Linked DNA regions of Mytilus edulis. The protein of the gene in region 2 interacts with the protein of the main gene of each other region in a biochemical or structural test. Links are inferred from orthologs where the notes say so. Each region holds a gene or a part of one and is shown on either strand. Other genes may lie near its edges.

Region 1 (7,505 bases), on a different chromosome or scaffold from region 2:
AGAAGGTTATTTCAATGAGGGCGCAGCCCGAAGTGAAATAACTTTCAAGGGTTGACAATTTTGGATATTCATCGATTCTAAGGGGCCACAATTGATTTATTATACCGAACTAACAGTGGAAAGGCCTTTCGAACACTTTCTATATGTTTTACATAACAAAGTCAAAGACAAGTTGACGTCAGATGAAAATACATTTGTGTTCTAGAATTTCTAAATTGTACAACAAAAGTAGAATCTTTTTGTAAAATATTGATGGCCCTGAAAAGGACCGTTACTCTATAAGAGCTATCATCAGCTGCTGTCACTCTATTCATGTCTAATGCCTTATTTCCTTTTTCTGCTTCGTCTCTCGGTGAGCTTCAACTGTAACGTGAACGCTGCCATTTTGTTTATTTACGTCTGTGACGTCATAATCATGGGAGATAACTCAAGTACAAATCAACAATCTCAAAAGGTTATTCGCCGGTGAATAATAGGGTTATTCACCGCTGGTGGAAATTTTTAGGGTTATTCGTCCTTCCTTGCAATTGAATGAAAAACAACTGAATTATTCCATGTCACGTGACAACGTTTCACCCAATAGAATTGTTTAAAATATATGTAAGGTATAATAATAGTACATGTACATATATATAAATGTAACACACATGATATATATCCAAAGCTAAGCAGCAAATATCTACCAGTATATATATATATATTAGAATTCATTTATAAGTAACAGAGAACTAATCTTGTTGAATAGAATATATCCCATATAATGGAAAAGTATCAAATATTTAGCATTTTCAAAACCATATGACCAAAACTAGGAATTAAATTATGATTTTCATCATTATTTATGAGATATTATCAAATATCTAATATCAAAAAAAAAAATCTTCATCTGGAGCATGTGTAGTTTGTTATTTTTTGCCTGTTCCTCTTTTTGGAGAGATTATCTATTAATTGAAGATAAACAACTTTTCTTGGCCATAAACTTTTGTTTTCAAAACTGAAACTCAATTTTTCTAGTTTTTAAATAGATATAAGATAGTAATGCCCTTTACCGTCAGGCGTCAAACAGCCATTTACAGCTATCGTTAGCGTCAAATTGATTATGCATGCCCATAAATTCAGAGAGAAAAAAACAGGAACTATCATCCACATTTACTATTAAGTAAAGTGATTTTCGATGTGATTACCTTGTAACTTCTGCATGTCAAAGCAGTGCAAAGCAAAGCTATTAAGCAAAGCAGAACCAAACAAATCTACTTACTTGAGATTAATTTCCTCCTGAAAACAATTCAAAAGAAGCAGCTGCAAAATTATGATGCAAGATTCAATCTCATAATGAGTTTTCTTTTTTCATATAAAGATTAACAGTTTAAAGACTAAGTATTTAGTACATAAATATGTCACGGAGAAGACATAATAAGCAGAGTTCTTACATTTCTGCCACTAAAAGATTCTTTTCTTTTATTATTTGTTCTACACAAACACTAGAATGTGGACAAATCTAAACAATATAGGGTGAAACAAGAGTTCACATGCCGAAAAAATTGCCTGCTTTCATGAGTGTGCCCCATTTATATGCTTAAGTCTTTTTAACATGTTTAATGAAGGTTCTACTGAATGTTTAATGAAAACTTTACCAAAGATCAAGGTCAGTTGGACCCTGGGACTCTGCCAGACCGATAGATTTACTAACCACACTTGTTTCTTAAGGTGTTCACCTGATCGTGAGATATTGACTATTGTCAGGGGAAAATAAATGCGCCAATGCTTTAAGCGTATAACCCTGTATGAAAGGCTGTAAAACATGGCTCTAAATGTTCTCACTAGGATATTTATAGAGCAGGGACAATGAGTCAATGACTAGTAACTTTTGCAGCACTTGGCAAGTCCTAGCTGATTGTGATGACTGGAGCATATGGACTGAAACAGGAAATGTACAGATACATACACACTAGTTTTTTTAACAGCTCATATTTTTTAGGTGTCAAAGCAAAAATTTAAAATAGCCTTCCAAGACGTCATAATTATTTGTACTAATTATGTTGTAGATAATTTAATGAAAATCGAGGAACTTATACTCAAAAGGATCAAAGATACATTTGTAAGATATAGAAACACAGGCACTTGTTTTAGTCCATAGAAAGACCCACTATCTGTATCAACATATATTTACGTTGATATATGGTCTTCTCATGGATAGCTCCCATGGATAGAAACAAGTGCCTGTGTATAGAAAACAGATCAATTTAGTCCATATAATCATAGACGGATCAAGGTGGGCCCTGGGTTCCTCTCTTTTGTTTGAAAAATTTGGTTGATTATATAGGGAATCACTGAAGCATGGCTGGAGCAGCCCCCCCTTAGTTTATACAAAAAGTTCTGGATCCCCCACTGATAATTATGACATTTTTTGTGATGCCAGTCACAGGAATAAATAAAAACAGATTGTCAAGGTGTTATTACTATTTTTGGACTAAGAAAACAGTGGAAATTGTCTTCAGACGCTTTAAAATATAATTTTCAAAAAGGAAACCCTATATTAAACATGATAAATTTCAAATAATTTAATATCTTAGATAATTTTTATACAGAGGTTGAAATAATTCGTATTTTGCATACATGTAACTGTACCAACATGCATAAACAATCAAAAAATAATTATAAATGAAAACATGCAGTTTGGTGCAATCTTTGGGGTTTTCTTTGTGATTTACCGTACAATATTTTCTTCTTGAAAAATGAAACTGTTCAGGATGTCCTGGTCGTGCTGAACTTGACCGGATATTATAAGTATATCGGTTACACCTTAAAACGTTGCTGCTGATTTGTTTTGAGAGGTTGTACAATGTTTTCAATGACATTTTGGAATATGAAATTTACATAAAACTGACCAGAGAATGTCCTTGAATAGCTTTTCAGGTCGATTGTTCTAGATGCCGGTTAGCCGGTTATTTCCACACGTGCTGCGCAAAAACGAAAGTGGTTCTGGTTCCCAGTTCACAATTTCATTTTCATTTTACAGTTAATGTTCCTCCATTCTATTGGAGCACCCAGTCTTTGTGGAGCACCCATTGTAATATTGTTATCCAACGATAGCATTTTAAACAGAGTATTTTTTTTTTATTGTTTAACACAATTTATAAAACTGTATAACTTCTTAATAGTGTGCAAAATTTTTAATTTTTTTTAGTAACTTTAGGTTGATTTATAGAAAAATTTCAAATTTATAATGCTACTATACAGTTACTAGTAGGTGATTAATTCGAGCAAGGATTTGTATACCTCACGGTATGTGTCTTACTTAACAAATCCTTCATTTAAGTATAAAAAGCGCATTGCAATTTTTAATGAACACCTAAAGAAAGTAAAACAAAATTTATCTGAATATCTATCAGTTTCTAGCTGAACTTAAAAAATTAACACAAAAAAAAACGAAAATGTTATTTCAGAGACATATAACTACATCTTTTAAAAGTATCTTATCTAGACTAATTAGGGAGGAATTGTCAATAAATCCTATCTACTTCAAAAATAAATCATTCTGATTCAAACATAAACTTCTCAGCTGAAAATGACATTATCAAGATGTTTGATATCTTGATTGACAACATATTTGTTACGTTTGGAGGACATGTTTTTCGCAAATCAATAAGCACTCCTATGGGAACCAACTGCGCCCCTCTTTTCTTAAAAAAAAAAAAACACTCTTGAAAGTATTGTTATTTCAATTACTCCTACTAATTTCAACATCGTCGATTAGAGAATTTTTTATCACAAACATCAAAATTTTGCCTGCATATAATCTGCAAGATAAAACTTTAAATAATACTCACGGTCAGGGAATTAACTCCCACTGCTGAGAAAAAATCCGTAATATAAGATCATATAAGAAAGTACTTATACATTATATAGCATATGTAGTTTGTTTAATACTATGGTGAAGCCAATTGCTACATATAATTCAGAGGTTATTTTTATGGATACATAGTATATATATCATATATAACATTATATAGAGCTGTCAAGAGGGCAAATGTATCTCATAAAGAAATTGACTTTCCTGATTTTACTGATAAAATTTGTTTTGAAAAACTTCATTTATCATTTTGTAAAAATATTTCGGGAACCGAAAGAATGCATCAAATTCTGCAGTAAGAAAAGAATGAACTGAGTCGCTATCCATTAACATTGAAAATAAAGGTCCAAAGTTTACTATATTTAACAAGACTTCTAAATAATTGTATAGTCCCTTATTGTGTGAAGCTTTCACTGTATCAAAGAATCTAGACTCTGCATGCAGGATGTTATACATGGTTTACGTATACAAAACATTGCAAAGGAAGCAAATGTAGATTTTAAGCATATTGAGGAGTGTAAGAATCCAGCGGGACTTTCTACACTAACTTTATAGAAAGTCCCTGAATAATCTAATCCAAATAAAAACACTTAAAACTGCATGAATTAAAAGTTAAAAAGGAAAATTATACTAAACATACATTTGAGAAAATACACAATAACAGTAAACTTCTATTATATAAAACATTAAAACAAAGTAACTTTAATAGAAACATATCTGAATTCTTATATATTTGAAAATAGACGTAGTATCACTAAATTAAGATTAAGTGATCATAATTTGTTAATAGAAAAAGGGAGACAAAGGACGTATATTATATGTTAGTTATGCATCCTTGGGGAGACACATAAAAATCCCTATGGAAAACCGGTTGTGTCAGTCCTGTGTGGCGGAGAGCCTATTTTTGAAACAACATTACTTCCCGGCTTGAAAATGAAATACCGACCGTGCAAGGGCTGTATAGCCAGTCAAGGTCGTTAAAAGCTTCCATTTGTTGTTGTTAAATGGCTGACCCACGTTGGCTGACCGTGCAAGAGCTGTATAGCCAGTCAGTCAAGCTTGATGGTCTTGCACAGACCTAGCTTACCACTGACTGAAAGATGACATTGTTATTTATAGAACAAAATGTCTATCTTCAGTCTTGCTGGTCTTGCACAGATCTCAGTGGCGGATCCAGGGGGGGGGGGGGGGGGGTCCGGGGGTGCGCACCCCCTTTATTTTTGCCGATCAATGCATTTGTATCGGGACATATGTTTTGCACCCCCCCCCCCCCCGGCACCCCCCCTTTGCCCTGGGTTAGCACCCCCCTTTCGAAAATTCCTGCATCCGCCCCTGGATCTCACCATATTTTGTCACTTTTATGTGAGTTTTAACTTATTTACATTTGAATACTTTTATATTTTCATTATTGTTGATATTTGCTAAATTGTAATTTATTGATAAACTATGAAAACTTGATAGTGTTAAGTCCTACAAAGCCACATATGAAGGACCAGAGACTCATGATTCCGATACCTACTCTTTACACAGTGGAGAGGGATTTATATAAGTTGTATTTATAACTTGTTTCCCAATCCACAATGAATAAATATGTTTAAACTACACGGTCTGGGGTAAAATATGTAAAAATTGACACAGAAAATATGCAGAACGTAAAAAACCCTCCGCCGGGTTACACCTGCACTGAGACTACTATAACACATGTGTTATAGTAGTCTCAGACCACTTTCGAGTTCTTCCGTCACCGGAAAAAACTCGTCAATTATACGCGCCTTTATCACCGTCATTTTTGCGTTTAGGGGCGTCGTCACTTCCTTCCAATGTTGAGCGAGTGGTTGGAAAACTATAATTCTATATTGTACGAATTATTCGGCAAATTGAATTCTCAAAATTGACAATCAACACTGCTGTCATTAGGGAATTGTCAGTAAGTACCTACAGAGCAACCGTTATTTCTAGGTTATCCTGCACAAAGACGATCACTAAGACGCTTGATGAACGTAAATAGTGCAGGGATACAGGCGAGCCCCTCTATCTGGTAAGTGACGTCATAAAGGCGTGCATAATTGACGAGTTTTTGCCGGTGACGGATGAACTCGAAAGTGGTCTAATAATGAACTTTTGAAACATTTTTTTTTTGTATTGCAGGAAAAACGCTTCCATTAGACGAGTTTTTATAAAAAAAAAAATAACAAAGGCTAAAAGTATAGAAAATTTTAATTGACTCAATGAAAATGAAAAAATATGATAAATAATCTTTGCCCATCACCTCAGTCACAAAAACATGTAGAAAGCATCACATTCTAATTTGTTACTTTTAGAGATTAGTGATTTGTCTGAAATCAGTATAAAAAAAATGTAATTATTTTATGTATAAAAGTATTATTTATTTTTCTATCTTTAAATTTCAATTTTTACATTCCAATATTCACTAAAACATTTGTAGGGCGTGTAGCATCTCGTCAAGGTTAATATTGCATGTGACCTGGGTACTGTGCACATCGCCGCATCTCTGTCGAGAGAATGTACAGGTGAGGGATCCAGTTTACGGAATATAGAAGCTTCCGGTCATTATAATTTTCGCGGATTTCCATGTTGATAGCCTTGTGGAGCTTATAAAAGTAACAGTGTGAAGATGTCAGACGAATCTTTAATAAAACTAGTTAATAAGGTAAAATTGATGCAAATCAAATCACACATTGAAAATCATTATATTTTAAGCGATAACTTTAAGCGAATATGGTGAACACGTTGACGTTGTTGAACGCTTTTTCCCGCACATTGCACAGGTGAAATTATTGCCCCCAAATTTTTTTTTAATGTTTATAGTTGTGTTATATATTTTTCCCTTTATATTCTGTATAATTTTAGCACTTTGCAGTCTAGTGTATCTGTGCACCTTATTTATAATGACATGTAATCATGACTAATGATGTATACAAACATGCATACATAAATGATCATGAATTTATACCTTTAGGCATTATACTAGTTCAAATAATTATGACATCTGGCAAGGCAATTTAAAAAAAAACCTAGGACGCAGGCGTTGTGTGTATTTTCTGTAGTACATGTATATATATATATGTTGTTTTTATTACACATGTTACATGTATATTGCATATGTTATTGTTTATAGATCTATTTTAATAATATTGTTTGTAATTATATATATATGCCAGTAGTATAATATGCCCTTCTGAGCCCTAATTTGGTGTATAAAAATATTCTATTCTATATTATAATTATAAAAAACTAAAATTTATTTAGATTTAAGGTGTGCAGCTTAACAATAAACATGAACTTTTAAATTTATATGGGACATTTCCGCATTTTCAGTAACTTTATATACCTGTGTCAATTTAAATTTTTGGAACAACATGAACAATGAACTGTCCCATTGAACATGTTGAAAGAATACAATTCTCAACAGTAGGTACATTTTTTAGAATGATATGATAACAGTTCTTTGTACATTTTGTATTATTATATAAATTATTGCATCTTTAAGAATTGAATCTTTTCCTGATTTTGAGTAGCTTTACCAGGTGTCAATTTTAATTTTTCGATCAATGAACTGTCCCATTGAAAGAATACGATAAGGTATAATTGTTCTCAGTGGAGTTTATTTACTGGGACCTTTAAATTTCTT
Region 2 (6,962 bases):
TATGTTTTTTCAAATCACATTTTTTCTGAAAAAGACAATTCAAAGAAGCTACATGTAGATGCAGATGCTAATAATGTTGGAAGTTTTGATAGGAAAATTTTCAGTTACCGGTAATAAAAATGATAAATGGTAAGGAGTTACCTTCTTGTCCAACAGTCCTTGATAATTTGATGATTTCTTTGGAGCATACACCATACTTCAGGGTTTCATTATCAGGGAAGATAATTTGTATAGATTCAGTTCATTTTGATAGCTAACTGTATTGGCCTAGGCCTCTTTTAATAAAGGTGGAAGGCTGCATATGCTTATTATCCAGCCGCAAATTTAGGACCAGAATATGCTAGTCCTGGATAATATAACATAAATATTAACCCTGCTTCGTACTTGACCATGCTTTAATCTGCCACACTGCTTACATGGCTTAGCGGAATAGCAGCAAATGCCAATTTAAAGTCTTTGGAGTTTGGTTTGACCCAGCTGTGGTTTGAACCTGTGACTTCCTAAACTCATTACCATTATTACTGTCAATCAGTACCGAATTGGGTATTATATTGTTAAATAGGGGTTGGGGTACATGTATCGCCCAAGATTGTGCTAAAGGAGTTGAACTAAAATTAAGGATTTTTTACTTATGAAAAATAGTTAAAAGGTAAAATCACAAAAATACTGAACTCAGAGGAAAATCAATTAGGAAAGTCCATAATCACATGGCAAAATCAAATAACAAAACGCATCAAAAACGAATGGACAAGAACTGTCATATTCCTGACTTGGTACAGACATTTTCAAATGTAGAAAATGGTGGATTTTAAATGTAAATAAGAAGATACAGAATGACTGCCAAATAATGTTGGTTTGGAAACCTGATGACCTGTTAATCATGCTACTTCTGGTCTTTTCACCCTCCTTTTGATCATTATAAAACAAGATAGTAATATGGGTGCCTTCATAACGTATAACAATAAAAATTCTTGAAAATTGATGTTAACAGTAATTTTTTGCGCATGATGATAAAATATACAATTTCTTTTTCAACAATAAAATAAAAATTGACTGATTTTAAGGCATCACATTCTTTTTTTTCAAAAAATGATGCTACTTGTGATAATTATTTCAGAACTCTGACAAATCACAATCCAGATATATTGATGAATCACAATAAAATTTTAACCTATTTGATTGTTTAAACCGTAGCCGAAAATGACCGTTTGAAGCCTGATGTAAAAAGGTTCTATTACCCTCATATGATAAAAGTGTGTTGATCATAACATTTTTTCGGAGGGTGGTAAACATGGTAAAGGTGGGTTTTGAATACAGAAAAACATGGAATAAAAATCACAAAAAAGTTGAAAAGAAATTAAAAATCGGGGAAAAACAAAGCACAAGAAATAAAATTGTAAGTATTAATGAAAAAAGTATTGAAAATTATTACTCAGCCTTTCTAGGAGATTATGCAGTCATTGTTTATAGAAATAAAGACCCTGCAGTCACCTTGTAGCGTAAACTGGACCCCTGTTGTGTTCACTTATCGCTACACTGACAACAGGTATGGCCTAAATCCCGTGGTCAGAATTCTGACCACGGGATTTAATAATTTGACAAGACTAGTACATCATGTGCTATGTTTGATTATGTATTATACTGATAGCAAATCAAAGAGAAATTAGCACATTTATAACCCTACTGAGTTCTTTAGGGAATGAAAGATACCGGCTCAGTTTGTCAAGAACATGTTAACACGCTCGTTGGTCATTTATCTGCCAGTACCACCATGGGGTTAATTAACAGATACTTGTGTATACTGCGGCATCGCAGTAGTAACATTTGAGGTCAATTCCTATCACTTTAATTGGCCAATTTTATTAGCGAATCGTTGAATTTGTACGACTCGTCCAATTAATGCCAATGTGACAATAGCTCCAACCTGTTCCTTCGGTGCGAAGCTATAGATAGAACGGCGGACCAGTTTACTTGTAGCGTCTGTTAGTTGCAACTGATTTGAAAAAAAGATTATTCATAGTAATTTCATAGACTTTTATACCATATATTTACAATATCCAGGCCAACTTTGAAGTACATGTAGTTTGATGTACCTGTCAACTTTGAATAGACAAAAACACGGAAAATAAATAAGTGGAAAAATGAAGCACGCACATTGAATCAAACACAAGAAAACGAGAAATAAAATGCCTAAACACATGAAATTGAAAGGCCGAAAGCGTTCCACCAAAAAGATTCCTTATAAACCCTCTTCTCAGATTGTAAAGTCATGGATAACTTCTCCAACATTGTGATGTCACTGATAAGTTATACACATGTATCATAGCTGTAAAACTACAATAACAGAGCGATTGCACATGTTGATAATTTAAGGTAAAGGGAAGCACTATAAAGGACAATTATAAGGATCGCCATCAACCTGGTCAAGTTAGTTTCTCTCAGAATCCAAAATAACGATATGTAGGATCTTCATATTGTTCTGTTGATCGATACTAAAAATCTGTGTAAATAACTCTCAGTTGGCCCCTTTAGATATCATTAACAATAAAAGCATATGTTTGTTGTCCCTCTTCGTTCGTTTTTTCATACATTAAAAAAAAATGGGGGCAGCATACATGTACATGTATTTAGCTGCACAACTTTATGTGATACACTTCATACCTATTACAAACTCTTTACTGTAAAAAGGATACATGTTAGATCTAGATCGAATCCGTCGACTTTGTGCCGTCTCTTGTTTTTACTGACAAGACCTTTTAAAAAATCCATTTTCACAAAAACAGTTGAAACTTGAAATCAAGAAAAATTGTCAACAGGTCTTTCGACTCAATCAGCGAATGTTAATATCCTTGTCACTGCATTTTCTGAACAAAAATAAATTCATTGATGATAACAATACATTATTACATGTAAACAAAACGACAAAATTCAATAAATGACACAAATTTCAGTTTACATTTTGTATGTCGCTATTTCGCTATGGCGGCTTCCTGATTTGATATCCTTCCGCTGACCAATCAATGTGGGGAGATATCTAAAATCTCCAGCCTTTCACACTTAAAAATATTTATTTAACACTTATGGCTAAATCATGATATTTATACAATATTAAACTGTAAGAATGTTTCCATTTTTACGAAGATACGAAAATATTCTAACCTGATAAAGCTATGTCAAAGGTCAACCTTGTGTGTAGAAAACCTACTGACCCACTAATCATTGACATACTTTGCAATACACAATGTTTTGTTTGATCTATCGATTAGGGTAAATACCCAAGGCACCATTTATTAACAAATGTGTAACAAAGGAGTGTTTCATAAATTACGACTGGAAAATATATAAAAATATGCATTCAAACTATAACATTGTAAAAAATAATTATACATAAGAAAAGGGAGATAAATGGAGTATACAATTTATCTGCAATAAAACCAATCAACTTGCTTATTATTTTTTGGTTACATGTAACATTAGCATGATTAGCAGAAACAACTAATTGACTTGTAAGCACAGTAATATAACTGGAATTTATTGATATTTTCTTTGTTGATGCCGTAATATTTTTACAACTATTTGAAAGACTGATATTATTATGGGAAAACAAAACTGTACGTAGAATTAGGTTGTTAGTCTGAGGGTCTTGATGGACAAGGGATTTTGTTCATTTCTGGATTCATTTTTAGGATATTTTTCTCAATTAATTGTTTTTTTTTCCATTTTAACTATTCTTCTTTATTGCATGCCAATCCTTTTTTCATATTTTTATGAGCAAAAAAAGAGGGGGGGGGGGCATTCTCTTTATTATTTTGAATTTGCCCTCTATATTTTCATTTTTCACACCTCATTCAAATACTTTTGCACGAACAATTGTTGTATATATATATAGGATATTATATAAACAATTCCTTGGTACGAAGAAGAATTTTATATCACAAACTGCAAGAGTCAAACGGTTAGCAGGACAAACAAATTATATCCCCGTGATAACCATTATCGATAAAAAAAAAGGATGATCTTCATTATTTATATTCTTTTATTTTCATTAGCCATGTTTCTCTGTAATTTTTGTTTGCCCATTTTTCGCTTCTTTATTTTATAGTCCTGATAACCAATCCATCCCTTTGATAAATAGCATGACTGTCAATACGAAAACGTATACATTTATTTAGTTATACAACAGGGTTTTTTTTTCAAATGATGTGCGGCTCTTTTGTACTGGAAATTGATAACACTTCGATCTTTCTTTATAATTTATTAAGTCAATGATTTTAAAAGCAGTAATATGAAAATCCTTTGTTATGCAGAAGTATATAATTTATATAATACATTTTTAATTCCGAATTCGTGAATACCCATTAACAACAGGTAACAGGTAGACTACACAGCATATTTATGGAATCAAAATGTTATTCAGCACTACATGTAGCTGTTGAATGCATTTTCATGATACGAAAGAGAAACGAAAGATATTGATATCCAAACTCTTCAGTTACAAATAAAATGACAACACCATGGCTTTAACAAAAAAGGAAAACAGACAAGCAATAGTACAAAAACACAGAAAACTAGACCGAGCAGCACAAACCTTACAAAAAATTGATGTTGCTCCGGAAGGTAAGTAAATCTGCTCCACATGTGACACCCGTCGTGTTGTTCCAGTTAGTATATCCAAACCCGGTAATTAGTCTAGTTCTCTTGGAATTATTAGCGGAAAGGGAGACTGGTTAATAACGACAATTGGAAAATTACCATCAATTTTCATGATTTAGAAAATGTTTGCATTGTAGGAAGGCGTTCAATGTATGAGTCCCAGGCCGAACCAAAAGAAAACAATTTTTATCTGAAAGATGATAGACATGATTGTTTATGACTTCTTTTCACTAAATCCATTGTATGTTGGATGTGTACTGATTGATAATTTAGTTTTAGATGCATGATTTTTTTAATTGGTGGTTAGGGGGTTTTGAACTAGCTGACAGTAACTGTGTGTACTCTTAGATCTGTACTTATTGTCTCTTTGTTGTTAAGATGTACAAGTACCTGGCCACATCCACTCTGTGTTTTTGTTAGATGTATTAATGTTTGCATCAGTTGTATCCATTTTGTTAGATAAGTCTTTTTGAACTGATTTGTATAGTTCGTTCTTATGTTGTACTGTTACACCACTGTCCCAGGTTAACAGGAAGGTTCAAAATCCCGCTAACACGTTTAACCTCCGCCACATTCTGTGTGTATGTGCTTACCCAAAGTCATGAGCCTGTAATTCAGTGGTTTTCGTTTGTTGCTGTGTTACATATTTGTTTTTCGATCATTTTTGTACATAAATTACGCTGTAAGTTTTCTTGTTAGAATTGTTTTACATTTGTTATTTCAGGGTCTATTATAACTGACTATGCGGTATTGGATTTGCTCATTGTTGACTGAAGCCGTACAGTGACCTATAGTTGTTAATTTCTGTGTCATTTGGTCTTTTGTGAAAATATGTCTTATTGGCAATTTTACTTGAATTTTTGTTCATCTGATGAGTTAAGCCTTTTTTAACTGATTCTTATAGTTCGTTCTTATGTTGTACTGTTATACCACTGGCTTAGGTTAGGGGGAGGGTTGGGATCCCGCTAACATGTTTAACCCCGCCACATTATGTATGTATATGCCTGTCCCAAGTCAGGTGCCTGTAATTCAGTGGTTGTCGTTTGTTTATGTGTTACATATTTGTTTTTCGTTCATTTTTTATATAAATAAGGCCGATAGTTTTTTCGTTTGATTTTTTTTACATTGTCAATTCGGGGCCTTTTATAGCTGACTATTCGGTATGGGATTTGTTCATTGTTGAAGACCGTACTGGTGAATTATAGTAGTTATTTTTTGTGTCATTTTTTTCTTTTGTGGAGAGTTGTCTTATTGGCAATCAAACCACATCTTATTTTAAATATTATGACTGAATTTCGAATGGAATATGTCTAAGAGACAACAACCCGACCGAAAAGCGGGTAACAGTCGTTAGCCATCAATTGCTCTTAAACGCAGGGGGGAAATCCTGCACATAGAGGTGGGCCTCATCTGGTCTCTAAAATGTGTACTAGTGTTCAGTATCATACTAAACTCCAAACATATTGATTAACTAAAATTAAAAAACCATACAAGACTAACAATGGCCAGAGGATCCTGACTTGAGACAGGTGCTAAAATGCGCTGGGATTCAACATGTTTTGTGAAATTTCATCTCTCCCCTATACCTTCAGCCAATTTAGAATAAAGAAACACACAGCAATGCGCACAGTAAAACTCGTTCAAAAGAAGTCCGAGTCCGATGTCAGAATAGGTAACAAAAGAAAATTAGCAAAATGACAATGATACATAAAATAACAAAAGACTACTATAGCAGTTACGGACCTGAATTAAACTGTCTTCATCATATGAAAATCAAGCACAGTCCCTTCCGTTAAGGGTTCAGTATCATACTATCATAAAATATATGAGAAGAACATAACCCGTATCATGACAACAGCTGGTTTTAGAATAAATGTGTTTATTTCCAGTGAAAAGACCCTATGTGTGAATCAATATAATACCAAAAAATACTTTTTTACCTGGAAGGGGGCTGGTCATTTTGAAATCAAACATATACAATTTTCTTGATTCCCCCATAATAGTTTACTATTTTCATTTGATCCCCCCCGATAAAAACGTTTATAAAATGTGATTTCCCCATAAAAACGTTTAAAAAATGAGATGTAATTCTATTTAAAATGCCAAAATTTTAACACGCAAAACATTTATCATGAAATATTCTCATTGGATGGAGGAAAATTGCCTTGAAATAGGGCTCTTCAATGAATATTAGTAGGTTGAGCAAGCCAGTGCTTTGGGAAGCTTTTTCTTCGTTTAGTATGTCCCTCTCTTGAACGAAGCGTAAACTAAGTTTTACGTTAGGCCATATGGAAACCTCCATTAAGTCG

The links. The genes of interacting proteins can lie anywhere in the genome.
Region 1: the proteins of phosphatidylinositol 3,4,5-trisphosphate 3-phosphatase and dual-specificity protein phosphatase PTEN-like (region 2) and peroxiredoxin-1-like form a complex in vitro, tested with the Homo sapiens proteins (2 studies listed by BioGRID and IntAct). The link is inferred for Mytilus edulis from reciprocal best matches to the Homo sapiens genes PTEN and PRDX1.

The regions. Positions count from the first base shown.
Region 1 is NC_092344.1:55,541,848-55,549,352, reverse strand, and holds the start of peroxiredoxin-1-like, read right to left. Parts: upstream 3,022-7,505; 5' UTR 2,859-3,021; coding exon 2,712-2,858; intron 1,276-2,711; exon of another isoform or gene 1,259-1,275; intron 1-1,258. Other genes in the region: uncharacterized protein, read left to right, coding at 6,489-6,524. UniProt on the Homo sapiens protein: Thiol-specific peroxidase that catalyzes the reduction of hydrogen peroxide and organic hydroperoxides to water and alcohols, respectively.
Region 2 is NC_092352.1:74,135,688-74,142,649, reverse strand, and holds the start of phosphatidylinositol 3,4,5-trisphosphate 3-phosphatase and dual-specificity protein phosphatase PTEN-like, read right to left. Parts: upstream 3,012-6,962; 5' UTR 2,770-3,011; coding exon 2,694-2,769; intron 1-2,693. UniProt on the Homo sapiens protein: Dual-specificity protein phosphatase, dephosphorylating tyrosine-, serine- and threonine-phosphorylated proteins.